4 linked regions of the Kluyveromyces lactis genome follow. The protein of the gene in region 1 purifies or fractionates together with the protein of each later gene. This does not show direct contact. Links are inferred from orthologs where the notes say so. Each region holds a gene or a part of one and is shown on either strand. Other genes may lie near its edges.

The links.
Region 2: the proteins of SGO1 (region 1) and SMC2 purify together in Saccharomyces cerevisiae (affinity purification with western blotting; 4 studies listed by BioGRID, with this or other methods). This does not show direct contact. The link is inferred for Kluyveromyces lactis from reciprocal best matches to the Saccharomyces cerevisiae genes SGO1 and SMC2.
Region 3: the proteins of SGO1 (region 1) and BRN1 purify together in Saccharomyces cerevisiae (affinity purification with western blotting; 3 studies listed by BioGRID, with this or other methods). This does not show direct contact. The link is inferred for Kluyveromyces lactis from reciprocal best matches to the Saccharomyces cerevisiae genes SGO1 and BRN1.
Region 4: the proteins of SGO1 (region 1) and CSE4 purify together in Saccharomyces cerevisiae (affinity purification with western blotting; 3 studies listed by BioGRID, with this or other methods). This does not show direct contact. The link is inferred for Kluyveromyces lactis from reciprocal best matches to the Saccharomyces cerevisiae genes SGO1 and CSE4.

What each region holds. Positions count from the first base shown.
Region 1 is NC_006037.1:697,747-705,377, reverse strand, and holds SGO1 (Sgo1p), read left to right. Parts: upstream 1-3,868; coding exon 3,869-5,653; downstream 5,654-7,631. Other genes in the region: NUP133 (Nup133p), read left to right, coding at 1-2,845; DAD2 (Dad2p), read right to left, coding at 2,934-3,332; CDC21 (thymidylate synthase), read right to left, coding at 5,814-6,752; UFE1 (Ufe1p), read left to right, coding at 7,200-7,631. UniProt on the Saccharomyces cerevisiae protein: Plays a central role in chromosome cohesion during mitosis and meiosis divisions by preventing premature dissociation of cohesin complex from centromeres after prophase, when most of cohesin complex dissociates from chromosomes arms.
Region 2 is NC_006040.1:1,345,839-1,354,111, reverse strand, and holds SMC2 (condensin subunit SMC2), read left to right. Parts: upstream 1-4,107; coding exon 4,108-7,620; downstream 7,621-8,273. Other genes in the region: RRT5 (Rrt5p), read left to right, coding at 455-1,732; KLLA0_D16027g (60S ribosomal protein uL2), read left to right, coding at 2,420-2,423, 2,901-3,661; MET10 (sulfite reductase subunit alpha), read right to left, coding at 7,690-8,273. UniProt on the Saccharomyces cerevisiae protein: Central component of the condensin complex, a complex required for conversion of interphase chromatin into mitotic-like condense chromosomes.
Region 3 is NC_006041.1:607,864-616,090, reverse strand, and holds BRN1 (condensin subunit BRN1), read left to right. Parts: upstream 1-3,848; coding exon 3,849-6,167; downstream 6,168-8,227. Other genes in the region: KLLA0_E06755g (sugar porter family MFS transporter), read left to right, coding at 1,147-3,150; i-AAA protease YME1, read left to right, coding at 6,595-8,227. UniProt on the Saccharomyces cerevisiae protein: Regulatory subunit of the condensin complex, a complex required for conversion of interphase chromatin into mitotic-like condense chromosomes.
Region 4 is NC_006039.1:1,061,602-1,068,145, forward strand, and holds CSE4 (centromeric DNA-binding histone H3-like protein CSE4), read left to right. Parts: upstream 1-3,242; coding exon 3,243-3,797; downstream 3,798-6,544. Other genes in the region: serine/threonine protein kinase PKH1, read left to right, coding at 1-1,343; ARP9 (Arp9p), read right to left, coding at 1,492-2,826, 2,940-2,969; formin-binding protein HOF1, read right to left, coding at 3,992-5,815. UniProt on the Saccharomyces cerevisiae protein: Histone H3-like nucleosomal protein that is specifically found in centromeric nucleosomes. Replaces conventional H3 in the nucleosome core of centromeric chromatin that serves as an assembly site for the inner kinetochore.

The sequences.
Region 1 (7,631 bases):
TCAAGTGGCAAGTTTCTTGACGCAAACCAAACGTCATAAATCAGTTTTAAAACTACGTGACGGTGAATATGTAGAGAATTTGATTAATGCAGAACCAGCTGGAATATTACTTTCGACAAATTACGGGCGTGTTGAGTTTTGTACTATAAGAGATGCTAACGGGAAACCTTTTGTATCGCTAAAACAAACCATAATAAAATGTCAAGTCGGAATCTTTTCATCCATGTCCAAATCAAAGAGAGTGGTATCTCTCAAATTGGGCGAAATCAGCGGTAAAGGAGAAAGAATAGTTTCTATTTTAACCCAGGGCGGGCGATATCAGGTGTGGAACCTTTCATCTGTTGGGAATTGTTACAAAAAGATCGATTTAAATGTACAGTCTGAAATTTCACAGGCAGTCTTAGAGCATTTCCCCTTGGCAACATCTACACTGAAACTACTCGATTGTCATCCTTTATCAGGAGACTCGGATGCATACTTGTTCTTGAGTTTCTTAGCGGAAAGTAACGAAACGCACTATTTACTATCAACCATCATTGTGGATGAAGATACTAACAGTTTCGCTATCTTCTCTACTTACAGATTAAACACATACACGCGACCATTATCAGATGAATTTGCCCCAAGACTTATAGTCCCAACTGCATACACCAAGGAACATTTACCGATAACGTCTGTTTACACTTTATTCTCTGATGCTGCTGTCCTAACTCAAACAAGTTCCAAATTGGACTCTAATTATCCATTTAAAAGGAAATGGGAGGACATTATACGGTTTAACAAAGATATGAAAGTTCTTGGGTACGATTGTAATTCAAGTTCCTTATACATTACTGATGGAAGAACATGTGCGTTAAAGTTGGAGACTTTTGAAAAATACGAAAACTCTGACTTCCAAGAAATTAGATTCATAAAGTCTCATGTGGATCAATACGTCTATTTTGGAGGACAATCAACGGATTCATTACTAGACTTCAACTTACCTGACAATCTAGATCTACAACCACAAGAAATTGAAACAGATATTCAAATGTCCAGTGATGAGATTAAATATGCATTATCAAACCACATACCGCCTGTTGCTAACAACCCCATGAAACACTTAAAAATAAGAAGCGAACTTTTTGAAAGACTTCTCACATTTGTTGCTCATAATTTTTTGGATCAAACATCTTCCCAATTCAAACTGGACTTGATTTCTGATTTTGAAATGATAAAATGTTTGGAAAGCTTGTACTCTTTACTACCGCAACAACCAACATCTATTTCACAAGCTTGGAAGACAGTACTATCAGAAAGTTCCTATCAATCGGATTCTGATTTTATCTCAGACGGCATTGTTAAGATTCCAGAATTATTGGGCGCCTTTTTGAAGCATTTGAAAGACCTAATGAAATCCACAAATGAAACTATGTTAAAATCTCAGATCGCAAAGCTTATAAATCAACTAGTTTATCATTCCATATTAGAAGAATGTGAAAACAGCTACAGGTATGGACTTTTCCAGATGAGCCCAGATGATGTATCAAAAAATATCCCTTGGTTCACAACAAATAGCATAATAGAAAATCTTAATGACATCTTCTTCTTGTTAAGGCATGCCTCTGAAGATCTTGCCGTTGTGTCAGAATTTGTAGAGGAATTACTGCTATTGGTTAAGTCTCTATTTTATATGGTCAGGCAAATAACCATGTGGATTGATGCAAATGCCATTACTGATTCTAGTTATAAACAGTTTTTCGAAGAAAATCATTTACTTTGGAATAGGGTCCTTAGGGATGTTAACAGGTCTCAGGATTCAATTCTAATCACAGATTTTTACCAAGACTTTGAAGGCTTAGTTGAAACTTTGCAATCTCTGCCAAAAATTACCGCATTCTCTCTATACGATGAATTCTTCCAGAAATACGGATACGACTTTGCAAAATCCTTATTTTCCTACTATATCAAGGAAGGGCTATGGGATGATCTTTACGAATCGTTTGGTGAAACCCATTCAGAATATTTGGACCAGTTCTTAGGAGAATGTCCCGAGTATGGCAAAGTTAAATGGATTGGAAACATATATTGCCATAAATACGACGAAGCAACTACAACTTTGTTGAGTATTTCTACTGGAACTCAATCGCTGGGTCAAGATTTGAAACAAAGACAGGCACAATTGAGTATTGCCAAATTAACAGCTCTTGCCGCGGAAGTTCAAGATCTTGAAAAGCTAAACGAAATTCAAACCGAATTAGATCTCATCGATGGGCAAATTCTTCTATCCCAAGAACTACAAGAATCAACTCTCAACCCACTATTCAAAGACTTTACCACCTATCGAACTTTGTTCAAATATTTGAGCGATGCTGTGAAGAGGAGAGAATCTCTCTCAGTGCCGCATATGATAGAATTATTCACACTATTAAATCAAGATACTTCTTATGGATTTGCATTGAGTATCCTTGCCATTGATCACACGTTACCCACTGAAGTAAAAAAGTACTGCGAGTACCAGATCTGGAGAAGGTGTCTCTTATCCGATGAAAATGCGGTTAGACAAACTTTAAGGGTCTTTTTCAAGCAGCAGTTCTACCATCAAAGTATCGAACTTCCAATCATCGACAACTTGGCCAATGAGAAATTGATCACTGACTCATACCTGGATGGCATGTACCATGGACTAACCGATCTTAATAAATTAGCTAGCGACGTCAAACGAGAGGTTGCTCTTTTCGCTAATTCGAATTTGGACGTTACGATGTTACAATCCATCATTGGAGAAATCAACGAGGAAACCGGTAACCAATGTGTCATCAATTACGCAACTAACACAATCGAGACAAGTCCCACATCTTTCTAATTCAATAATAGAAGAAGGTGCCACACCAATTAATTGTACATAGTATAAAACCTGTTTATACACCATATGTATATATTCAATAAAAACGTTATTCAACGTCATCTGCAACTTTCACCCGTACCAAAGTTTCCGGAAGCGGAGGTAATTGATCCTGTTGCCGCTGCTGGTTATCTTCTGAACTTTCTGACGCAGCACTTTCATCTTCAGCGCCCTGTTGGTTTCTATGTTCCTCTTTACTGGCCCATTTCCCAGTCTCATAGTCGTTTTCTGTATACTGAAGTAAAGATATCGAAGCCTGAGAGATAGACCGAAGAACCGAGTCCCAATTAGCCATTACGTCTTTAACAGTCACAGCATTGCTATTCATCTGCGCTACCTGAACGCTCAGCTCGTCCAATTGAGCCTTTAATTTCTGTGTCAATGCAGAAACATGCTTCAAATAATTCAATTCTCTTCTCTTAGTCTCGATCTCGGTTTCAAATGCCATACTGACAACTTTTTTTCAGGTGACCCAAACCTCTTACTCTTCAGCTAGAATATATCATCCAACTCGCTCCGAGAAGTGTCTATCTTAGCTGATAATTCTTGGTTCTTCTAGTCTTTGAAAGAATTCACATTGTAGAGATTAGTTCAAAGTCGTGATTTCATATTATTCCGATATTGAAATAAAGGAAGAAAACTCGAGAAAACCGACTTGTATCAGGGGAGATTGATCTATACAAGCTACGCTAAGCATTAACACCGCTATTTAGAATGAACGAAGGGTTGGATAACATCAAATTGCCCATTACATGTCCAACTTACCTCATTTGAATTAAATGTAGTACTAAATATGATCCGGGTAATCTTGTTTTTTTGTGTTTACATCGTAGAACAAAACGTAAACAATGAAAACATTCAAAGCTTTAGATCTCATTCAGCGTTTAAATAACCTGTTCATTGACTGAAAGAAGAGCGATTCCTAAGTCTATAGGGACCCGAATTGACGGCGGATAGTGTTACTAAGTTTTGTGAGAGTGCAACATGAGCGCTTCTTCGCAGTACGATGAATTTCAAGCTATGCTTGAGCAACAAAAGGGAATTTATTTACAGCAGAACAGTCAGCTTGCGAAATATAATTCCAGTCTTATGATGAAAATCACTGATATGGAGACTAAAGTGAGTGAATTGGTGCAAGAGAATGTTTCCTTACGGTCGCGGCTTTCTATGGGTGAATTGCGCTATCGTGAGAAGCTCAATACTGTTTTCCAGACGTTAGAGGACGGAATTGTAGAAAAATTCTTGCAAATGAACCAATTGTTGACCACAGTACGGGAGAGCCAGGGTTTAGAATCAGGTATTCATGATAACCCTCTTAAACCGATTTTGAGAGGCTCGAATGGTATAAGCCCGAGATCTGCGAAGAAAGTGGAGTTTACTGGTGCAAATACCACAACGAAACCAGTTGGGTTTGAGGATCCAATTGCGGAAGATAACCATGAAAATAGCGGGAATAGTCTCGAGCTGAATGATGATGAGGTACGACCTCTGAGAAAGAGGAGGCGTAAGAGTTCACGGAGAGAGTCGTTGTTCATTCCTGCAGATTTCGAGTTTAACGATGAGGACCCGGAACTAGAACTGAATCAACTGCCGATAACTGAGGATGAACCGCCGCCTAGTACTGCAGCCACCTCAGTACCTGAGGAAGAGTCTCAGGAGAACAAGCATACAAAAGAAGAGCGTGAAGACGAGGGAAAAGAGAATGTCTCTACGATACCTTTGGTACCGGTCCTTCCATCTGTTACTAACACAGGCACTGAATGTAGCAATACCAATAAAAATAATACTACAGAAATGGAAACTGCACTTGCCGAAGATGATTCTTACAATTTCACTACATCAGTCATTGAATATTCCATTCCAGAGGAAACTTCAACTCACGAGCATTCACATATCCTACTGGAAACGTCGAAATCGAAAATTGATGTATACAACGACAGAGAAGAGACAAACAACAATGAGGCTGATGACTCAATGAATATCGTCCAGTGCACAATCCCATCACAATCGAAAATTAAACATTCCATGAAACATCCTAGGACGAAACTGAAAGGTGGCCAAGATGATATTATGCCCCACACAGATTACGATAAAGATGATGAAAAACGAGAAAGAAGGACTAGAGGCAAAGCTGTCAACTATAAACTCCCATCACTACGTGCTAAGATGCGTAGACCCACTGAAAAATTGGTGGATGCCACAACTGTCACCGATATTCATGATTTACAAGTGAAACGTAGAAATAACCAACAACAGGGAATACCGTCTGATGACGATGATCAGGAAGAACTCTTAGTGCCTGCTGGCGTACCTGACACAAATGTCGTCATTGCAACAGTGGAAGAAGAGAACAGAAAGGAACCACCGGCTTTACCATTACATGAGATTCACCTTGCACAAAACGTTAAACCTAAAATCGCTCTGAAAGAATTATCAGCTAACGCTATCAACAGAAAAGTTAAAACATCTACTGCCGTAAAAGCAATAAGCCACACTAAATCGCGAGTGCTTAAAGATGTCAAGTTCAACACATTGCCCACAAAGCAACAAGCTATTGAAAACAACTCGTCCGATCCAAATGTATCTGATGAAAATGAAAATAGCAACGTGAAACCGACAAGAACTAAACAGGCTACTTCAGATCTAGCAGCATTTGAAATTATAGATGGAATTTCTCTGAAACATGTATCCAGGACACATCGTGTCAGAGCAAAAGAAGACATGAACAAAAAACGTAAAAGAATTCATAATGACGAAATAAGCATATGATAGAACTACCTCAGCATTCAACCCGTCCCATACCAACATTCGATACCAGCATATGGCACATATCATATGAATCTTTTTTTTTTTCCGGTATTTGAGCATGATATAGATAATATTAAGTACATACATTAGATAGACAAATGATACCAATTATCCATGATCCTCAAACGCTCATCTTCATTTGAATCTTCCCATGAGGGTTATAGTCAGTTATTTCGAAGTCTTCGTATTTGAAATCGTCGATATCACTGACATTTCTCTTTATCTTCAATTTTGGGAAAGCTCTTGGCTCTCTGGCAATTTGTGTCCTTAATGCATCAACATGATCTTTATAAACATGCGCATCACCCAAAGTGTGAATAAATTCACCAGGTTCCATATCACAGACCATAGCAATCATCTTCGTCAGTAGCGCATACGACGCGATGTTAAAGGGTACTCCTAGACCCATATCACATGATCTCTGATAAAGTACACATGACAATCTTGGTTTGGCACCTTCTCCCTTGGGGAAACTGACGTAAAATTGCGAGAAAACATGGCATGGCGGTAAAGCCATCTTGGGGAAATCCGGAGGGTTCCATGCAGAAAGAATTATTCTTCTGTCGTATGGATTTGTCTTCAACTTATGAATAATCTCCTTCAACTGATCAACACCTTGACCACTATAATCATCATCACATGTCTTATATTCGGCCCCAAAATGTCTCCATTGGAACCCGTAAACTGGTCCTAAATCCCCCTCTCTTCTGTCAGTCAACCCAAGTGAGTCCAGGTACTCACGAGAACCGTTACCTTCCCATATCTTAACGCCTTGTTCTGATAATTTCTTCCCGTCTGTACATCCAGCAACAAACCATAAGAGCTCCAAAATAATACCTTTCGTAAACACTCTCTTCGTAGTGAGAAGCGGGAAAGTATCATTGCTCAAATTAAACCGTAACTGTGGAGGCGCAAAAAGGGAATAAGTCCCTGTACCAGTTCTATCTGGTCTGAATTCTCCCTCATTGATAATCCTTTCACATAAATCCAAATACTGCTGTTCTTCCGCGTTAACAGCCTCAAGCTTAACTCTCTTCACGTTTTCATCGCTCAGCGTCATGGTTGACAAATGTTGGTTGTTTAATGATCCGATAAAACGCCAAAGGAGTCGAAGGATGGTTGAAGTAAGATAGAGTTTAAACTAGAGATGGCCTTTAACTCTTAAAAGCCGTAGTCTGATTCTTAACGCGTTTTCGTGTTGTGGGAATTTTTCAATGGCCGGGTAATGATGGTGAAACAATGTCACGTGCTACCTAAATTCTTAATTCCATCCTCGATGAAGCTTTGGTCTGGCAAACGAATGCGAATCAAATTTAACCAAAGGTTACTTTGGTTAAGGAGGTACCGTTCTACTGGTAATTATACTGTCTATTAACTGTCCAATTAGAGGCAACTATCGTGTGTGTTTACCCTATCTAATCTGGGACTATAAGCGTTCCTTGTTCAAGCTTTTCTATGTTGAGTAAGTGTCAAAAAGAATATATACAAAGAAAGTGACTACCTTAATATGAGTAATAGAACTGAGCTCTTCAAAAAGTACATGCAAGTGATTGCAGAGACTCAGGGAATTGATGATGCTAGGAACGAATTGAATAATACGAAAGCGAGAGAGGATAGAGAAAAGGTGAAGGAAAAGTTTAGTGTAAAGGATACTTTTGTAAAAGAAAGTAAGCAGTTGATGAAACATATTATGGAATTCCAGATAGTGATAAGGCAATTGACTCCCAGGTACGAAAGTGCTACTGACATGACTGATCAGGAGAAAGATGATTTTGATACAGAGAGCAAACTTCAATTACAGCAATATTTCGAGAAATATAAGCAATTGGAATCGTATGAAAGACAGAGACAAGAAATGATGAAAGAAAAGTTAGAGAAATGGTCCGCAACCGTACCATTTTTCTCTAGATCAATTGACGATGTATCCAGTTTCCACAAG
Region 2 (8,273 bases), on another chromosome or scaffold:
AATGCTCTTCAGGCGTCTTTCCTTAGCCTTAGAATCTCATCTCACAGTCACGTGCATGAAACTTTCAAAAAGTGTAAGGTATAGTTGTTACCCGGATACGTCAAGAACGGCGGCTAGTTTCCCTTTTTTATTTTTGAAGGACTCTATTGTGGAATTTTTCGTGTCAAAAGTCATCTAATTGACGCCACTCGCCTTATTCCTTTATTATATATAGATAAACGTCAGGTAGCCCCTGATTTTGTGACACAACTTCTATACAGAAATCTTCCTCGAAACATTATATATATGAACACAAAGTCAAAGGCCTTCTTGAATTCCCAATACATCGCTTGATAGTATAGGCAACAGTCGAAAGGGCGTACTTGTGGAGCTTAAGTTCACATCATATAGAAGATTTGGAAGAGTTTCAACAGGAAACAGCCAAGCGAAGTTGTAAAAAATTAACATCACATCAATGTCGTCGCACGCAAGGGTATACATTTCGAACTTGAGTTTCGAAGCAAGTGAGAATCAATTATATGAATATTTGCAAGACTACAATGTCATTTCTGTATTGATCCCAAGTCAAACTGTGAGAGGCTTGAAGAATAAAGCAGTGCGTCCATTTGGGATTGCATATGCTGAATTTTCCAATGAAGAAGATGCAAATAAGGTTATTCAAGAATTGAATGGGAAATTGTTCATGGAAAGGCATTTGAATTTAAGAATGCATATTCCAATTGATTCTAATAAGGTTCAAATCGTTAGAAAATCATCAGTGGCTGTGGTTGCTTCCTCTACTGCAGGTGCTGATCCATCCGCCTCCTCAGATACTCCTGCGGAAGCACCAGAAGTGGCATCCGCGCTGGAACAACAACCTCTTGTTAAACAATTGAAATCTAGGAAGCACAGGTTGACTCCATTTAGAAGAAAAAAGAGAGAGGAGCCAGCTGTTGAAGCAGATATTCCTGAAGCTTCTACTGAAAATGTTCAAGAAACTGGTAACAATGAGACGGAAGTTTCAGAAGCTGTTGCTGGTGCGGCTGATGCCAATGCCGGTGCCAATGCCGATGCCAATCCGATAGTGACGGTTGATCCAGTTAATTCTGAAAGTTCTGACGTTGGGAACGTTACCACTGTGATAACAGAAAAACCTGTTTCCGAGACCATTGCATTCATTGGATTCATTCCTCGTAATACGACTGATAATCAGCTACGTGAATATTTCAAAGGATTTGATCCACAAGAAATTGTTGTATTTAAAAATAGAACTTATAGACGTGGGTTCACTTTCCATCGCCATTTCACAGCAGCCTTGGTAACGTTCCCCGATGCCTTCAGGCTAAACGATGCGAAACAGTTTGCAACACAAGAGAAATTTAGGGGCAAACAGATAAACGTGAAGAACGCATTTATAGAAAAGATTGAAGAAGTGCAAAGGGCTTTAGAGAAGAAGGCGGGTGCTAACACTAATGGAGAGTCCGCGGAAGGCAACAACGAAATCCCAGCAGATGCTGGGGTAACAGGAGATGAACCTGATACAGCTAATGCTGTTGCGGCAATTCCTATCGAGGGAAATCCTCAACCACAAGCTGACGGTAATGACGGTGCTGTGGTGGAGCCCGAGGCCAATGCCGAACCGCTTATCGACCAGGAAGATGGTGTGACAGCATCGCAGGACAATCCATTACTTAATTCAAATGCAGAGTCTCAATTAGAATCTCAACAACCTGTAGAACAGGTCGCAGCCTAATACACATACTACTAGCATTACTACTTCTATCAATTATATAACTATGGTTTCATAAACAACATGCTTTTCTACGTAAAATGCAACAAAACAGTCATCGGGCGATCAGTCAATCAGTCAATAAATTCATTAGTGACACATTCAACATCAGCAAGTACACAATAACAGATTATGTGACTGTTCCACCTTACATCCGTACCTCAATGTATTTTATATATTTTTGGAATTTGGTTATACATTATTACTGTTTAAGGTAATACACATAAACTTTTTCAGAAAAACTTACACAAGGCAGTCCAATTGTGGTAAGGCTGGGTGTCCTGGGCAGACGTCCCCCTGCCGATATTCCTTTCCTCTAAGACTGAGCCGTTCTGCCAGGGGGAGCTGAGACACAGAGTCTCTCTGTCCGGCTTTCCTAGTCCTGCCCAGGAAACTCTCCCTCCAGGCTGGAATTCAGATTCACAGAACCAATGCCTAGGCTGGGACCAGAGTTTCTGCCCAGCCCCTTCGGTTCCAGTACATGGACCAATTCTGGCAAATGGTGAATTTTCAATATTGTAGGTATAGTTATTGAAGAAAGAATTAAAGATCATTCATTGAAACTATATGGTAATACTGCTTTGCAATAGTATTTTGTGTTACACTTTATTCTTATTGCACTGATACTGTCCAACCAAACCGAAGTAAACAATGGGTATGTCTATTACGGTGACATAGAGTTATGAGGATTTGAAAGCACTGAATTAAAGAAATGGCCATCATTTTAAGAACGAATAATGAAATATAGAATAATGTTAACCAGGCACACACCGGCCATAATTAAACAATGCAAAGAGCGAATATGATATGTTTTGAGAGTTGATGATTGAATTACTGTTAGCGATATGCAATATATGTGTTAAATCTACCAAAGAAGATGATTGGGAATTATTACGTCAATATCATTGGGAAAAAGAGATTTAAACGATACAGAGAGCAGAGGAAGAAACGACAATAGCTGGCATGGGATCAATGATAGATCTGGAATTATAATGAGTGTCGATTCAGATGTGGTTCAGATGTTTTTTCAACAATTATAATAAGAATTTTTCAGTTATACTAACAAGAATTATCTTTCAACAATGGCATGAGCATTTTGCATATCCATTGTCGATTGTCAGTTTCAAAACAGGTAGAGTTATTAGAAACCAAAGAAAGGGTGCTGGTTCTATCTTCACCTCTCACACCAGATTGAGACAAGGTGCTGCCAAGTTGAGAAACTTGGATTACGCTGAACGTCACGGTTACATTCGTGGTGTTGTTAAGCAAATCGTCCACGATGCTGGTAGAGGTGCTCCTTTGGCTAAGGTTGTCTTCCGTGACCCATACAAGTACAAGTTGCGTGAAGAAACCTTCATTGCCAACGAAGGTCTCCACACCGGTCAATTCATTTACGCTGGTAAGAAGGCTTCTTTGAACGTTGGTAACGTTTTGCCATTGGGTTCCGTCCCAGAAGGTACTATCATCTCTAACGTCGAAGAAAGACCAGGTGACAGAGGTGCTTTGGCCAGAGCTTCCGGTAACTACGTTATCGTTATTGGTCACAACCCAGAAGACAACAAGACCAGAGTTAGATTACCATCTGGTGCTAAGAAGATCATTTCTTCTGATGCCAGAGGTGTCATTGGTGTTGTTGCCGGTGGTGGTAGAATCGACAAGCCATTGTTGAAGGCTGGTCGTGCTTTCCACAAGTACAGAGTCAAGAGAAACTCTTGGCCAAAGACTCGTGGTGTTGCCATGAACCCTGTTGATCACCCTCACGGTGGTGGTAACCATCAACATATTGGTAAGGCTTCTACCATCTCCAGAGGTGCTGTTTCTGGTCAAAAGGCTGGTTTGATCGCTGCCAGAAGAACTGGTTTGTTACGTGGTTCTCAAAAGACTCAAGATTAGATTTAAACAATCTCCATATGTTTAGGTTTATTGTTGTATAAAAATAATTTTATTAAATGTCATTTCAAATCTGTGTCTGAAGAACGATGTGGATTCCAATAGTATACAAAGCTTCAAATTTCAATATAATTATTAGTAAACTACTTCTACATACCGTTTTTTAATCATTTCATCCTTTCGTCATATTATCACAGGCTATTTTTGAGCACTAAGATCCCCATCGTCTCTGCAATGTATGTTTTGCCTTTGTCTGTCTTCCCTCATTATTTTATGCAGATTTGATTATGAGAATTTCAACATAAATAAAGATTTGAAATATGTAAACAAAAGACCTGATGAGATCAACAAAACAAACACAAAGGCGAGTCAAAAAAGTGAATCCAACCCTGTCAACGCTTGCTGTGAGGTTACATATCTGCTGCTTTAGATAACCCGGTGATATCACAATGAAAGTGGAAGAACTTATCATCGATGGGTTCAAGTCATACGCCACAAGAACTGTCATTACAGATTGGGATCCTCAATTCAACGCCATCACTGGTTTAAACGGGTCAGGTAAATCGAATATTTTAGATGCGATATGTTTTGTGTTGGGTATTTCATCAATGGCAACCGTTCGTGCTCAAAATTTACAGGATTTGATCTACAAGAGAGGTCAGGCTGGGGTAACGAAGGCCAGTGTTACCATCGTATTTAATAATAGCGATACCAGTAATTCACCAATTGGATTTGAATCGCATGCGAAAATCTCAATCACTAGACAAATCATACTCGGCGGAGTCAGTAAATATCTGATCAATGGTCATAGGGCCCAGCAACAAACCGTGCTTCAGTTGTTTCAATCGGTGCAATTGAATATTAATAACCCGAACTTTTTGATCATGCAAGGTAAAATTACCAAGGTTTTGAACATGAAGCCGCAGGAGATTCTTTCGTTAATAGAAGAAGCCGCTGGAACAAGGATGTTCGAAGATCGACGGGAAAAGGCAGAAAGAACTATGGCTAAGAAGGAGACCAAATTACAAGAAATTAGAACTCTTTTGACTGAAGAAATTGAACCAAAACTCGAGAGATTCAGGAATGAAAAGAGAACGTATTTAGAATTTCAAGAGACTCAATCTGATTTAGAAAATGTGATGAGAGTGGTAAATGCATTTGAATTCAGTCAACTCTCAAATAAAAAGAAACATATAGAAGAAAGTTTACATTCTGGTCAAAGTAGACTCGAAGAGTTGGAGGATACAATTTCTAGGTTAAAGAACGAAGTCGAGAACTTGGGAAGTGATTTAGACGCTCTAAAAGAACAGCGGCATAAGGAGGTTCAGTTAGGTGGTAGAATGTCGGAATTGGAAACTAAAGAATCTGAAATTTCAAATGAGCTTTCAAGGGTGCAAACAAGTTTGAATATCGCATTAGAAGATTCGGGCGAGGAAAAGGTAAGGATCAGTAACTTGAAGAAAAATATTGAGAGGTGGAAACAACAGCATCAGGAAAAGAAAACTCTATATGACTCGAAATATAAAGAGTACAATATTCAAAACAAGAAACTTGAGGAACTGAAAGCCATTCATAAAGAAAAGCAAGAACTACTCTCAACTCTAACGACTGGTATCTCGTCTACCGGTACCACTGCAAATGGATATAATTTTCAACTATCCACCATCAAAGAGAAGTTACAAAACACTAGAATTGAAATAAGGGAGAAGGAAATGGAAGTGGAAATGCTTAAAGAAGAGCTCAATTCAAATACTCCCAAAATTTCTGCTGCCAAGGCTGAAAAGGAAAAATACGATAAAGAAATACAAAACATGCAACATCATTGTAATAATCTCGAAAAACAACTTGAACAGTATGGTTATGATCCAATACTATTGAAAAATCTAAAGGATAATGAGCGTTCCTTAAAACATACACACTATCAATTGAGCCAGGAAACAGAATCCTTGCATAGGAAGGTCTCAAACTTGGACTTCAACTATGTTCCACCTTCAAAGAATTTTGATGTCTCGTCTGTTAAGGGAGTTGTCGGACAATTGTTTACCCTTGACGAAGCAAACATTGATAGCTCTGCAGCTTTGCAGGTTTGTGCAGGTGGAAGACTTTTCAATGTTGTGGTAGATAACGAAAGAACTGCTTCACAACTTTTGGAACATGGTAGGTTACGCAAACGTGTAACAATCATTCCTCTTAACAAAATTTCGTCACGAAGAATCAACGAGTCCATCTTGCATTTAGCAAAAGAATTAGCTCCTGGAAAAGTGGAATTAGCTATAAACTTGATTGGATTTGAGGAAGAAGTCACGAGAGCCATGGAATTCATTTTTGGAACAAGTTTCATTTGCAGAGACGCTGAGACTGCCAAACAAATTACATTTAATCCAAGAATCAGATCTAGAAGCATAACATTACAAGGTGATGTCTATGATCCTGAAGGAACACTTTCAGGAGGAAGTAGGAATTCTTCAAATTCACTACTACTTGATATTCAGAAATATAATCATGCATCATCGAGGCTCAAACAAGTTGAGAACGATTTGCAGGAAGTCGGCTCACAAATCAAAGACCAGCAAATGAAAGCTGAAAACTCAAAAAATGTGTTATCCGAATTGAATTTAGCCACACATAAGCTTAAGTTAGCTGAGAAGAATGCACATGCTAGCAACGCAATGCAGCTATTTAACCGTAATGAAGAAATTCTAACTCAATTGAAAAACTGTGAAATGCACATATGTCAGTTGACATCATTGACCAAAGAATACGAAACTGAGATAATAAACATTCAAAGAGATATGGAAGAATTCAATAAAGACAAGGGTTCAAAGCTCAGGCAGTTAGAAGCTAATCTCTCTGAAGTCTCTGCAGAAGTGGAAAAATTAGACACTGATACGGCTAAGCTGTTTGATGAATATCAGAACTTGAGTTTTGACACAGAACAGCTACACACAGATATTTCTAACGCCCAAAATGAAGTATCAATTGCAGAGAAAAGGCTTGCAGAACTGGAAACAACGTGTAATGAGTACGAGGGCGTTGTGAGGACCAAAAAGTCTGAACTTCACGAAGTACACAGTATTTTACAAGAGGAAATGTCCAGACTTTCAGGAATGGAAGATGAGATATCAGAACTAGAGTTATTGCTTAAAAATAAGAACCATCTACTTTCAACTTCGGAAGTGGATTTACAGAAGATTACAAACGACTTGCATAAATACAAGAATAACACTTTTGGCATCGATCAAGCCATTGAAAATTTAATCAACGAAAATGATTGGTTGGAAGATACTTCCATGGTCAATAGCATCTTGACACAGAATAAGAACATTAATCTAGATCAGTACAAGAAACGTGGTTCCGATTTAGCCGAAAGCTTTCAGAGCTTAAGAAGGAAGGTGAACCCAGAGGTAATGAGTATGATTGAGAGTGTAGAGAAAAAGGAAACGGCATTGAAAACAATGATTAAAACCATTGAAAAAGATAAGCAGAAAATTCAGGAAACTATCGAAAAGCTTAACGAATACAAACGAGAAACTTTAATAAAAACATGGGAGAAAGTCAGTGTAGATTTCGGAAATATTTTTGGCGATCTTCTCCCGAATTCATTCGCCAAATTGGAACCTTCAGAAGGTAAAGATGTAACCGAGGGATTAGAAGTTAAAGTTAAATTAGGTAAAATTTGGAAAGAGAGTCTGGTAGAACTCTCTGGTGGACAGCGTTCCCTAATTGCGTTATCATTGATCCTTGCATTGTTGCAGTTCAAACCTGCACCAATGTATATATTGGATGAAGTGGATGCCGCATTAGATTTAAGTCATACTCAGAACATTGGTCATCTTATTAAAACCAGGTTTAAAGGCTCCCAATTTATCGTTGTATCGTTGAAAGAAGGTATGTTCACTAACGCTAACCGGGTGTTTAGAACTAGGTTCCAAGATGGTACATCAGTAGTTAGTGTTATGTAATGATTCTCATATACCAAAATAAATAGATTGATAAATAATAAACAGTATTCAACGAAACACATAAAAAAATCAGTAAACTTCTAGGATATATCTAGAAGTTTCCTTTAAGTCTTCAATGGCAGCATCCAAGTCAACGTTGATGCCCTTCTCCTTCGCATCTGCAGCAATAATATCTTGTAGAGCTTGAGTGATATCAGGAACAGGCCACGTTGGACCACATAAGTAGAAGGAACCTTCATTGTCAATCATTGCAGTCTTCAACTCTGGCAAGTTTTCTTTGATACGATCTTGGATGTAAATCTTTTCAGGTTGATCTCTGGAGAAAGCGGCACCGATGTGAGTGATAATTCCAGCATCCTTATAAGCTTCCCATAATTCACCGTATAAATATTCTTCTCTCTTGTGTCTAGAACCCAAATACAAATAGACTTCACCGATTTCATAACCTTGTTGTCTTTGCCACAATTTTTCTTCTACGATAGCCTTGAAAGGTGCTAAACCAGTACCTAAACCACTCATAATAACTGGTTGCTTTGGAGATGGTGGCAACTTCATAACACTTGGTTTCACAGATACAACAAGTTCAGAACCGATAGCTAAATCAGAAATGAATTTTGAAGCTTGACCATATCTCTTTCTTCCCTTATTATCAA
Region 3 (8,227 bases), on another chromosome or scaffold:
AAGTATACAAGTTACATACAAAACTGGCTGGGAGTGCTTTGAAAATAAATTGCTACTGGAAATAAACAAAAATATATGCTGCGGGGAAATTTGAGGCAAGGGTATTTTCCTTTTGGTTCCAATTATTCCAGCCATGGAAAAATGATATATATCATCGAGGACCACTGGCAAAATCTACTGCGGCTTTCTTACTGTAAGTTTACAAGTCCGCATATTTAGTTTGCTCTTTGTTCATGAAGACTCGAAACTCATCTGATCTTGAATGCTCGAACTACTATGGAATCATAGCAATAGTATCTCCGTTGCTCCAGCCTTCGACATAATCGACGGTTGCGTTTCAGCCCATTCGCGTGGGCTGGGCTATTGCAGCCTCATCTTCTCATAACCAGCCATAATTCCTCCTTAGCTCTCGAAGAAGATCGCTGGTGCGCTGGATTATTTCCCACCTGATTAGGTGTTTCTAATACGTAATTTAGTTTCATTTTCTTTTTTTTTTCCTATGCGGTTCGTGTATTTTGCCGTGATTTCCTTTTATGAAACTGGGAGTCTGCTTAAAAAACAACCTTAATATTCACTTAGGCTGACTCTATTCATTCAAGCAAAGGCAGTAGTATAGTCCGGCTCCTTTCATCTCTGGCTTTTGCTTGGATCGTCTCGCTACTGCAAGCAAATAGTGATTGAATTTTTTTTGATTCATTTTTGCGTTGGAGACTATTATTAGTCCCTGTTAGTAGCCGGTAGCGCTTAACACCACTGCAAAATGAAAACTGGATTACTTCCGTCAACGTTAGCTATGTTATTTACACGGCTTCACGGAGAACCTGAATTGAAAGACAGTATATATAAGTAGGCTCTGAAGTATATACTTTTCTCAAAGATCGTGTTGTCATGGCTGTTAATACTTTTACGTCAAATATTTTTCCATGATCTTCCTCCCATATAAAAAAGGTTCATAACAACCAAAAACCTATAATAGTTTTGAGAGGGTTTATCCTCATATAGTTTTTGCATTATAAAGTTGTTTTGTTTTTCCTGAATTTGTCTTAGAAAAACTTGTACAAAGGCCATTAACCGATTTACGTGAAGAGGTCTTGAAGCAGAATATTATTGAACAGATAGAGAAAGATTGTTAGTATCAAAATAGTCATGGATAATAAAGAGGTTAAGAGTAGTCCTTCAGTTGAGGATGTTAACTCATCTACCAAGAAGAGTGCTGATCTGTCGAATGCAGAAGTGACCAGCTTTCATGAGGCAAAGAGGAAATCTGCCGGTGGTGGTGTTTTCGTTGCGATGAACGATGACAGTTCCATTTCTAGTATTGGTGAAGATCCAGAAGGAAGGGATCCGAATAGTGTGCAAGAAGAAAATATATTGGCTGAATATTCAGAAGAGCAGGTTATGAACATGGGACGTGCTTTTGCTAAGAAGTACGAGTTGCCAAATGATGATGATATTTTCGCTCGTGGTGCTGCTTTGGCCAGAAAACCAAACGAATACGACAGGTTAAATGTTCTAAAGGAAGATGAACGTATTGCTTGTTACGATGAAATTCATCATCCTTGGAGAGTCCCTCCAAAGTTGATTGCTATTATCGCTGCCAGTGCAATGGGTGCTGCCGTGCAAGGTATGGATGAAACTGTTATCAATGGTGCTAACTTGTTCTACCCTAAAGAATTGGGTTTAGGGTCAGGATCCAAGAGGGACGATTGGTTGGAAGGTCTTGTTAACGGTGCACCTTATCTATGTTGTGCTGGTGTCTCGTGTTGGGCTACCGATTGGTTGAACAATATGTTTGGTCGTAAAAAGGTTATTTTCATCACTTGTGCTATCTCTGCTATCACCTGTTTCTTACAAGCTTTCGGTCCAGCTGGTACTCCAGGGTGGCACTATTTGTTTGCCATGAGATTTTTGTTGGGTTTTGGTATCGGTCCTAAGAGTGCTACGACTTCCGTTTACTTGGCTGAATGTTCTACCAAAAAGTTACGTGGTATCATCTGTATGAACTGGCAAACTTTCACTGCTTTCGGTATCATGTGGGGTTACGTTTTCTCTTTGATCTTTTACAGAGTTGGAAGAGCTGGTATTGCCGGTGGGTTGAATTGGAGATTAATGTTAGCCAGTGCTATGATTCCTGCTATTTTAGTTTTAGTGCAAATCCCATTCTGTCCTGAATCTCCCCGTTGGTTAATGGGTAAAGGTCGTTACAAGGAAGCTTATGAATCCACCCTCCAGATTAGAAATCACAAGATCCTAGCTTGTCGTGATCTTTTCTATCAACACGTTTTGTTGATGGAAGAAAACTCTTTGGAAATGTCTTACTGGACTAGATTAAGGGAAATCTTCACTGTTAGAAGAAACAGAAACGCCTTGATTTGTGCCTTCATTTGTGCCTTCATGCAGCAATTCTGTGCAATTAATGTTATTGCGTACTATTCCTCTGCCATTTTCTTGCAATCAGGTTTCACTGAAATTTCTTCATTGTGTGCTTCCCTAGGCTTCGGTTTAATTAACTTCTTCTTTGCTATTCCTGCCTTCTTCATGATCGACAGATTTGGAAGAAGATTCCTTCTATTAAACACGTTCCCATGGTTGGCAGTATTCCTTTTGATTACAGGGTTTTCTTTCTGGATCGATGATACAGAAAAAAGAATCGGTGTTGTTTCGATGGGTATTTACGTATTCTCTGCCATTTACTCTTTCGGTTGTGGTGTGGTTCCATTCGTTATCGCTGGTGAAGTTTTCCCCTTGTACGTCCGTGCCATTGGTGCATCTCTTTTCACCATTGTCTTGTGGGGTTTCAACTTCATTCTATCTTTAACTTGGCCAAGTATGCTACGTGCCTTCGAGCCTCAAGGTGCCTTCGGTTTCTATGCTGCTTGGAACGTCATCGGTTGGTTCTTAGTCTACTTCTTCATGCCTGAAACAAAGCAATTGACTTTGGAAGAATTGGATGAAGTGTTTGATGTACCATTAAGGGTTAGAGCCAAGTATCAACTATTGGAATTGTGGCCTAACATTCAAGAAAACCTCCTAAGAAGAAAGAATGTTAAGAGACAACCACCACTCGATAAACACCACAGAATGGCCATCAAGGCTGCCGAATGGAACGAAAAGGCTGAGGCTGAAGAATTGGAAGTTACCGAGATCTAAAATCAACTCAACACTTAATATTTTTATGTCAGTAGAAATATTTTTTGGTAGAAATTAACCTCCTTTGCATGATAAAGCTAGCTCAAACTATCATCATGTCATCGCTTTTCACACTAATTGATAACTTATCAAGTAATAATATTGCGAATTAAAGAGAATTTGAACAGAATGCCTGGTGTATTTAAATTCACTCTAATTCCCCTTTGTCTTCCTCTGTTTAATAGCTTAACTGTTGAACTTTCAATTAAGTAGATATTTATCTAGCTAGTTAGTAATGTTTTAATGTGATATTTTAAATGTAAGAAACAAATTTTAAAGTTCTAGCTAATATCTTGACATGTTGAAATAAAAGTGAAGAAGTCATGTAGACCAGGAAGTGATTGCAAACATTAATGACTATACTTACCAAAAATCGAATCAGATGCATTAGATGTGATCATGGGAAACGCTTGAGATGCTCCTAAAGTGTTCAAACCAAGGCTTTATGCAGCTGCTTCTCACGTGGAAACTTAGTCACTAATCACGATTTGATGTTTACGTTTATTTGATGTTTTGTAAACATTGAAGGATCGGGACGCAGTATTCAGATCCATTTAAAGCTGTTCAGGAAAACAGAGGCAAGTCAGGAAACGGGATAATTGTGAGCATTATTCAGCTGCTTTATCAAAGCTACCTTGGTTAGGTTTTCAGGAGTAGCAATGACTACCCAATTACCGTATGACGATGATGACAACGGTCTTTTCACGAATAAGTCCACTATGATGGCTAACTTTGAAGAATGGATCAAAATGGCCACGGACAACAAAATCAACTCAAGAAACAGTTGGAATTTCGCATTAATTGACTATTTTCATGACTTGAACGTGTTGAAAGATGAGGAGGATAATATTAATTTCCAGAAGGCTTCGGCGACGTTAGACGGTTGTGTGAAAATCTACTCTCATAGAGTCGATTCCGTCGCTACTGAAACAGGGAAGTTACTAAGTGGATTGGCAGAACGGAAAGGGAGGCAAATTAGATCCAATACAAACGGAGAGAACGATGATGGAGATGAGGAAGATGATGACAGTCTAGAGGTAGATCCTTTAACTGGTCTGCCGATTGCCCGTGATGACCCAGAGACTCTCGCGAAAAAAAAAAGGACGTACAATAGAGTGTTAGAAACGACGTTAGTTGATTTTGAAAGTATACGACTGAAAGATTTAGCACAAAACCTAAGTATAGATCCGTTGTTCAAGAAGGCACTCGCCGATTTTGATGAGGGTGGTGCGAAGAGCTTACTTATAAACACGTTACATGTTGATGAAAAACTCCGAGTTGTTTTTGACGCAACAACGACTGAACCTGAACAAGAACAACCGCAACCATTGGCCTCTACTGAAAGTCAAGTTCAGGAAGAAAATAATGAAGTCAGCGAATCAGCAAAAGAGACCTCGGAGGTATTTGGCTTGGATTCAGAAAAGGGTTCAGCAAATGAGGAAAATGTAGAATCAACCCCAGATACATCAGTCACATTGCTAGAGGATGATATATTAGATCTCGGTGTCAAATTCTTAGATTTTAATACTATTGAAACCTCAATATTGTGTCCATCGATGGATCAGCTCCAAAGTGCAGTAGCGGATATTGGAAAAGCAAAGTCATTTGTTGAAGGAGTGAATGGCCAATCTGATAAATTCTTGACAGAAAAAGATCTAGAGACCCTTCCTGAACTCGATGCGGAGGCAGAGTTCAACTACGAAATGCCACCAGAGGATGGTGAGGATGTTGCTGTTGATGCAGGTTCTATGGACTACGTTGAGCCAGCGGATAACATTCACGAACCAGAAGAACAGCTGGCCCTATCAAATCAACAGAATATGTCACAAATAGATGACAAATCGTATGGCGATGCGAGCGTACTCGATCAAGAGTTACTATCTTACTTTGACGCAGCGATAGGTCAGAATTGGAGGGGTAGAGAACACTGGAAGGTACGAAACATCAAGGATAAACTTAGCAAGGAGTCTGTGGCCAAACCACAGCAGCCAACTGAAGCCGATGGGAATCATGAACCAGCAGTTGAAAAGAAGGTACCCAAAAAACAGTTTGAGATTGATTTCTTGGATCTGAATGATAACATTGAAGAAGAAATATTTGCAAATAAAAAGGGGTTCATTGATCTATCAGTGAAACAAAGAACAAATGATTCACATTTCTTACTACCGGACGACTATAAATTCACAACGGATAAAATCACAAGGCTCTTCATTAAGCCCGAGCAGAAGATGAGTTTCTTTTCACACAGGAGGATCAGTAAAGCCAGGTTACCTGGGTCCCTGAAATTTGATGATACCGAAATCAAAGAAGTGAGTAATATTCCGGAGATTGCAGACGAACGCTTTTGGGCTGAAAACTATCAACTGCATGAAAGGGAAGAAGAGCACAAGCAAGATGACACACAGATAGAAAGATCAACCAATCCATCGTTTGAAGAGGATAACGGCATTGACTTCAACCAAGCCTTCGAAGATGAAGATTTGGATATGGATACAAAAGAAGATTTCGTAAACACGCAAGGATTAGTTGCAAATAATAAAATGACCTACTCCAGAACCTCCAAAAAGGTAGATGTGAGAAAATTGAAGAATAATGTGTGGAAGTCAATATGGCAACGTTTACATGTACTGAAGACAGACGAACAAAATGGGGAAACTACTCGGAATGAGGAAACTACTCAGAATGATATCGAATCAGAAGCACATCTGACCGAAGAGAAGCAGGGAAAGCAGGATATATCAGCAGAAATATCAACAAAAGCAGAGGGCTATGACTTGAAATTCACCGATATCGCTCACGATATCGTGAACATGTACACTTCAAGTGCCAAAAAGGATCTCTCAACCAGTTTCTGCTTTATCTGCCTTCTTCACCTCGCTAATGAGTATGGATTTACGATTAACGACACTACAAACTACCAAGACTTGGACATTCGGTTCCCTGAAAAGATTGCAGACGCAATTATTGGCAAGGAGTAGCCGAACTATAGCCGACGTAATTATTTTGTTTGTATATAGAAGAGTATTGATCACGTGATGTTCGTCTAAAAAGACCTCGTTCCTTTTTATTTTTCTGGCACTTTCGAATCGGATTTCAGCTGTTACGTAGAGTTTCTCCCTAATGAAATGCAACGCCACCCGGACGAGCGTTCATCAGCTTCCAAGAATTTGTTGATAATGTTGAAATTTGAGTAAATTGAGCATTTGTCAAATTTAAAGGTTTTTATTTTCTTTAGAATGAGGATATATATGGCTATGATTATTCGGGTCATTTAGAAGGCAACGAAAGAGGCAAAAGGCTTTTAAGAATAGTGAACAAAGGAAGCAACGAAAAAGTTGTATATACCAGCTCAGGTACTTTGAAAAAATCACTTTTACGGTGTACTTATTAAGTGTTAAAGGCTAGATGACGCTTCCGGTGTTGATTGGTGTTTCTGGTTTGTGCGCCAAGAACGCTTCTCGAGTGTTGATTCGTCAAGCCCCTGTCTTGACAGGGCCAATTTTAAGGACTTTGCATAGAAAGCATTTTCTTACAGGCAGCGTGCTACAAAACAGATTATATTCGGACAAGAACCAAACAGGCAAGGATCATAATGGTGTTACAGGTTCTCAGCATTCGGAGGACTCGAAGAACACTGTAAATGGGGCAACAAGTGGTGCAGAAAATGTTCAGCAGCCCAAGCAACTAAACGGGATTAATTCGAGTGATATTGATCCGGCAAATGGACCTGTATCACACGCTGTTTTGGCTACTAAGGAACAGCAAGCTAATAAAGATTTGTCTAACCCAAGTGCGCAAGCGGAGTTCTATAAACTTCTCTTGAAATCGAACTATCCGCAATACGTTGTTTCGAGATTTGAAACTCCTGGTATTACTTCATCGCCTGAATGTATGGCTTTGTATATGGAAGCTTTACAAAGGATCGGTAGGCACGCTGATGCTGAGTCTGTGAGGCAGACTTTGTTGACGACTGCTCCAGCTGGAAGTATTCCTCCTGCCGTGGCTTCATCTGGTGCTTCTTCCGCTGCATCGGCTAACGGTGCTGCTGCCCAAGTTACTGGAGGTGTTTCATCTGGTTATTCTGGCATCTATAATCCGTACATGGGATCCAAAAAGGAACCTCTACATGTTGTTGTCACTGAATCCACATTCTCTATTGTTTCCAGATGGTTAAAATGGTTGATCGTATTTGGTGCAGTTACATACGGTTTGACTGAAGGTTTCAAATACATTACAGAACATTCAACCCTCTTCAAGACAAATGAAGTCGCCGATAAATCTGTGGATGTTGCAAAGACTAATGTAAGATTTGATGACGTGCGGGGTTGTGACGAAGCTAGAGCTGAATTGGAGGAAATTGTCGATTTCTTAAAAGATCCTACCAAATACGAATCCTTGGGTGGTAAGTTACCTAAAGGTGTTCTATTGACCGGACCTCCAGGTACTGGTAAGACTTTATTGGCAAGAGCCACCGCCGGTGAAGCTGGTGTTGACTTTTTCTTCATGTCAGGGTCAGAGTTTGACGAAGTTTATGTAGGTGTTGGTGCCAAGCGTATCAGAGAGTTGTTTGCACAGGCCCGCGCTCGTGCCCCTGCTATTATCTTTATCGATGAATTGGATGCTATTGGAGGTAAGCGTAATCCCAAAGATCAAGCTTACGCAAAACAAACTTTGAATCAATTGTTGGTTGAATTGGATGGGTTTTCCCAAACAAGCGGTATAATTATCATCGGTGCCACTAACTTCCCAGAATCATTGGATAAGGCTTTGACAAGACCAGGTAGATTCGATAAGGTCGTCAATGTTGACTTACCTGATGTTCGCGGGCGTGCTGACATTTTGAGACATCATATGAAGAAGGTTACTGTTGCTCCTGATGTGGACCCAACTATCATTGCAAGAGGAACCCCAGGTCTTTCTGGTGCTGAGTTGATGAATTTAGTTAACCAAGCCGCCGTATACGCTTGTCAGAAAAATGCTATTGCTGTCGATATGCAGCACTTTGAATGGGCAAAGGATAAAATCTTGATGGGTGCTG
Region 4 (6,544 bases), on another chromosome or scaffold:
CGACAACAGCACAAAGGCCAAATGGTGACACGACATCCACCACAACAAAACGTGAGTTAGACCCTAGAACACAGCGGATTTTGAATAATGTTAAAAAAGAAATTTCTCAGCGGAACCACAGACGGGCTGCCCTTAAACCATCACAACAATACTCCGGCTCTCCAAGCCAAGGTGATATCACTCCTAATCCTGCAACAGCAGCAGCAGCAGCTCTTCAGCAAATTAAGCAACCATTAAATGAAACGACAGCAAAATCTTCAACTTCTTCTGCGGGTTCTGGAAGAAGTCAAAGGAAACCTAGTGGCTCCAACCGCAGTGCAAGTACAAATTCATCATCATCCAAGTCTGCTCCTCCTTCATCGTCTTCTAATATCAGAAAAATATCGTCCGATTTATCTCCAATGAGTAAATTAGATATAATGTGGTCGTACTACTTAAAAAATATACAAGAACGTGTGATAAAGATGGGGGAGATCAATGTTACCACGCTCAAAAACCAAAGTCTTGAAGCGAAGATTAGCAAGTCAAAGCTCTCCCTCTTAGATGCAGACGGAAGGGTGCAGAAAAAAAATACTCTACTGACTCAAGTTGTTAGAGGAGGCGGAAATGTAACTGGCTTTCGTCAAGAGAACTCAAACTTGGTTGAGCATGACTTTTATAGTGAGTATCTGATTGATCCTGAAAATGTTGAAGCGAGCTATCGTAAGCAATCTGGCGCAGATGAGGCTTCGCATGAGGGTATGTCAAAATTGAAACATTTCTTTTCAAAGGCACCTGATGCACCTGCAGAATTTATCGCACAATCAGAATATATTAAAAGAATGTGTGTAATAACGACATTCGGAAGGTGCCTTTTATTTGCTAGAAAAAACAAAATTAATCAAAATTCAAACCTTTTCTATGATCTAGAATATGAGATAGATTTGTCACAGTTAGGTGTTCGCATAAAGGAGGTTGTACCAGAGAAGAAGACAAGTTCGAAAGATATCTTCGTTGTACAGACGCCATTCAAAACATTTGTATTTCAAACGGACGAATCAGATACCCTGGTATGGTTGCATTCCCTAACTTCAGCGATTAAAAGCAAAAATGAAAGATTCACTAATAATGAAACATCAATCAATCCCATTGCTAACAAAGCGGCATTACTAGCTGAGCAGGAAGCCGAAACACAACTTAATGGGTATAAAACTACAAAAACTCCTTTCCTCACTAAAAGAAGGTCCAGTTTTACCTCACAGAGACAAAAACAAAACAATAACGGGAAGCTGGGTACAAGACCAATATCAAGTGGATCTAGAATGCTTTCCCGGAGCGAGCAAATCTTTAGAACAAACAAATGATCAAAATTCTAGTAAGAGTCATAGCTCAATGCTCTAGAGAAGTTTGATGGGCACTTTCTAAATGTACGGTACTCTGAACTGCATTTGCTGATTGAAATTACAATGGATATCTGTATACGTTTATATATTGAAAAAGTACTAGAATTATTTAGAAAGAAACCTCCCAGATGGCCTCTGGGCCTAGTTCGTCATACTTCTCCCTTGTGACATAGAATGAATTGTTAGAATGCCCAAACACTTGCTTTGTTAAGATCTGGGCGCCTAAGAAGGTAATATCAGCGAAACCAATCTTCTTCCATTCCGAGAAATATTCAGGGAACTTTGGTGTCATGATGGTAGTTGGTGGCTGCACATATTCAATCTGATTTAAGATTGGAGCAGTGGAAACCTTCCCAATTTTCTTCTGTTTAGAATCTAATTTAGCCGCAGCATCCACCTCTCTTTTATACAGTTCCTCTTCTGGTTCACTAACTATATGGTCTTTTAGCAGCTGTGATAGAAGAGCTTCCCTGAACCCTTTTATATGTGATGTCCCTCCAACAATAATGACATTTTCCCACATTGCTTTAAGCTTGGTTATGTCATCAATCTGGCTCATTGCTTGTCCTACAGCTTTCGAGACATCCTTCAACAGATCTTCATAGCCTGTGAATCTCTGCCTGCTTACAGTAATACGATTACCATCAGTATCAAAGAAGTCATTTGTCTCTAATTTGCTGTTGTCCAGTTTTTCTTTGTTTTTGTTTCGTTCGCGCTCTTCTAGAATTTCTCGAGTATCACGCCCACTAGTAACAATTGTAGCCACATCTAAAGTACCTTCTTCGTCATCTTCGTTGTCGATAGCGTATTGATCCATGATATCTTGGGACAAAATTTCGTATATATCCGACCTTTTTAAATCCTCAATTTGGGACTCGGTGAGATTTGGTAAAGCTCTCTGTAGATTCTTATTTATCGAGTTTCCACCGGAAGTAATCTGTCTTATGAAGCAGGTTAAGGGTGTATAGTCCATAATTGGTACAACATCGGTGTGAAACTTGCCAATATCGATGATCAAACAATTTTGCAAAGAGCCATAGGCAAATGAATTAGCTAACGAGCTAGGTAATATAACAAAATGCTTCAATTTCATTGCTTCAAAAGCTGTTCTGCAAAGTAGTTCTTGTTGGAATTGAGTCCAAGAGTAATGCGAAATTAACAAAAATGGAATATTAGAAAGAGCTGTATCCCAAGCGATTGGACTATCGTCACTCTCCTGTTTTAACACAGATTTATAGATCAACTTTAGAAAATATTGGAACGCATCAATATCGACAATGCTTCCCTTCACAATGGGACAGATAACAACATCAGTAACAGAGGATGTAAAGTTACCATTTGCATCTCTGTAAACTTTTGTTGGAATAGAAATCGAAGGCGGCTGCAAAGTATCTTCTCCAATACCAAATTGAACCAAAGTCCTATTGGATCCTGGATATATTATCTGGACAAAAGTACCACATGTAGTAATGTGAGTGGATCGGTTAGTAAAGTTATCTTAGTAGTTTAAATAACTAATGTTTTCGGAATAATGAACAATCTGGATACCGCACATACGAAGTAACTGTCTTGTCTTAATGGTGCCATTTTTGCTAAATGGTTTCTAACAATACAACAAAGTGCTCGATTTATCGTAACAATACGAGTTACAGTTGCTAGGTCAATGACGAGACTTTTCCTATCCAAGTAGCTAATTCAAAGTATAAACTTGTTTATCTTCTATTACTTTTTGAATTTTTCAAATAATGAAAACAGTTATCTAGCTAACATTAGCCTACTCAATGATGAATATGACACGCGAAACATTGAAATTAGTTCTATGACACGCAAAAGACCATACGGAAAAGAGATTGATACATAATGGAACAGTCTATCAGGAGCATAGACGGTTCTAGATCTTTGAGCAATGTTGGCGCTTCACTTATAGATCGTGAATCGATCAATCAGAGAGCACTACAATTATTACAGAGAAACAGAAGAAGACGTTTGTTGTTAAATAGAAGTGAAGACAAAGCAAGATACATCCAGCCCGAGCGTTCTGCTAGCAGCCAGCAGATTCACCCTCCAGAGCATCATATCAGCGCACATGAAAGAATAACAAAGGCTCGGGGAACTAGATATAAACCTACTGACCTAGCTTTGGCAGAAATAAGGAAATATCAAAGATCCACAGATTTGCTTATATCCAGAATGCCCTTTGCGAGGCTAGTGAAAGAGGTAACAGATCAATTCACTACCGAGAGCGAACCTCTTCGATGGCAATCCATGGCAATTATGGCTCTTCAAGAAGCAAGTGAAGCCTACTTAGTCGGTTTATTAGAGCATACAAATCTATTGGCACTTCATGCTAAAAGAATTACAATTATGAGAAAGGACATGCAACTAGCTAGAAGGATACGAGGTCAATTTATTTGAAGCAATCCTTCCTATCATTTAAAGTACAGATTTATCTGCTCAGCTTCAATTTGCTAATAGTTTGATGTCTATTGGAAGAGCAGAAATTATATATAAGTATAGAACTTTATATTGGTTACATATGGTTACAAATTCATTATTTAACGGGTGAAAATGGTCAGAAAGGAAAGCGTCCAAGGTGAAAGTGATGTACATCAATTTATTACTTTCACGTAATTCATTGGTACCAGACCATGCTGTTTGTTACCTTGATATACCTCACCCACATACCAGTCATCATTTATGCATTCGACTAACAGCAGGATATCACCAGAATTGAAAAGTAGTATGTTATTTTCATTGGGTTCAGTGTACGAATACATCGCTTTGACATATTTTACGACTGGATTTTTCATGGAATCAACGATGGGTAGATTCAATTGTTCACCATCAATAGTCACACGTTTACAACGCATTATATTCAAAGAGTTGCTGAAAGGCAACACTGTTCTGCTCACAGTTAAGTTGCTAGAAGCACCAGAGCTCGTTCTTGATGTCATCGGACGATCATTCATTTCCAAGATTTCTAATGCTGTTTCGACATCCGATGCGATGGATTTTCTACGATTTGCAGTTGGTGGCTTCAGAGAGTTGTTATTGTCGTTGTCAGAAGTATCCGTATCCATTGTGGGCGAATACATTGATGAAGGTCTAGATTTTCTTCTATTGCGTGAATTCCAAGATTTAGCAAACCTTTGAGAGTCATCGACACTTGAGGCCATGGATGAGAGAGAAGTCGACATGGAATCATAACTTGCCTTATTTTTCCTATGAGTAAAGTCCGTTGGATTTGAAGAAGTCTCTTCTGAAGATTCTGATAATGTTGCTCCATGTCCTGGCTTTGTAACCACTTCTAAATAGTTTTCAACGGAATGCGGAGCAGAGTTATCATTTAGGACCTTCGATTCTATGGAATTAACAAGGGCAGCATCAGTTTTTGGAGTTGGCAACCCTTTATCGACACTTAATGCATTTATTGAATTGAGCCTGGTGTTCTTCAGCTGGGTTGATAGTCTTTTTATATTTTGAACATACCTATCATTCTTTGTTAAATCCAACGCCTTGTGAGAACTCTTCGGACGGATCACATTAGATGGGTTAGAGTTAGCACTTGAGTTGTGCGTTGAAACTGAGTTAGAGTTTTTCAACTTGATTCTTCCAGTACCATGGTGGTAAGAAAAGTGCGATATTTCAAGTTCAGGTGTGAAGCTGGAAAGTTTTTGTTTTAATTGTTCCATCAAAGAGAGTTCCAGTTCCGAAGGCTGGGTTGTAAAATCAGCGTATTGTTGTAGTAATTCCCTAGAGACCTGGATTCTTTGTGTTTCTAAACTTTGCAATTCTCCACTAATATGTCTCCATTCCTCAAACCAATGTGCTCTAGCAGCTTTACATTCATGATGTAAGACGGTTTTCCTACGGTGTGATTCTTCCACTATCGAAGACCATTTTTCCAATTCTCTCGCATTTTCTTTCCTTTGGTATTCGCCCAAGGCAGTTTCTTTGTTGAGCTGATACTCTCTCAGTTTATTCTCAGCACTGAGTAATTCTTGATCTATAGATTTCAAGGCTTTCTTCTTTTCATCTTTCAACTTCCTTAAGTTTTCCACGTTTCCCGTTATCGTTGACCATCTGGCTCTATATTGCTTTAAGAAATCACTCATCGTACCGACATTTTCCCTGTTGAGCCTCTCATATGCCTTAGAATGACCATTGGCTATTGTCTGCTGGGAGGATTGGAAATATTTTAAGGATTCAGACATATTATTGTAGTCCGCATATCGTTCGAGATTGTTCATTATTCTTGCACTGAGTGCTCCTAATCTTCTTGCATAATCCATCTCCAACTCACTTCTCTTAGTGAAACAATCGAGCAATAACTCACAGGTGCATATACCTCTTCCAACATGCTGAAGAAGAACGGTAACACCTTGATCGTCTTCGTCCCAGAAACTTTCTTGATAGTTGTATATTTGAGTCATTCAATCGATAGCTTTCCTTGCTAATACCTACTCTTTGTTATGCCCTCAACTTCCCTTCAATTGTAGATTGTTGAATGACAAAACAGATACCGTACATCTAACTTCAATCCTTGTGAATTGTTAACATACACCGAACAAAGTTTGGTGAGAGAGCCAGAACCATCCATCTCTACAACTGAATACAATCACTGTGATAGTGCTGTTCGATGATGTTTACATTATTCCTGATTGGGGAATAAGTTCAATCACGTGACTTATATTTTTGTTTGTTTATTGCAAAGCAAGTAATAATACCAAAAAGGGAAATTATGCTTAATTCTGTACCTCTATCATTTTTGTCTGTACCGGCCGTACAAGAACATGAAAAGAGAAAGCGAGGATAAATAGGAGAGCCTAAAATCCCCATAATCTCTGACGATTACCCTGGTATATGGACAGCACCGTCTAATGACTTGAGAGTCCAATTAAATTCCTGAATTAACCCATCGCAAAACTCTCTATGTCTCCTTTGTGATATGCTTTAGCTCCGCACGGGATTGCAATGAAATAATTAGCAAAAACGTCGTGAGTATTTTCTTCCTGCTAAGAACCATCAAAGAAGGTTCACAGAAAACAACGTACAAACTGTATATCAGGGTAACCAGCCGAGTTTTCCCCTGTTTTCATTACGACATTGTTCCCAAATTGAGACTATTTCTCTGCAACACAGTACATACAATGATACAATTC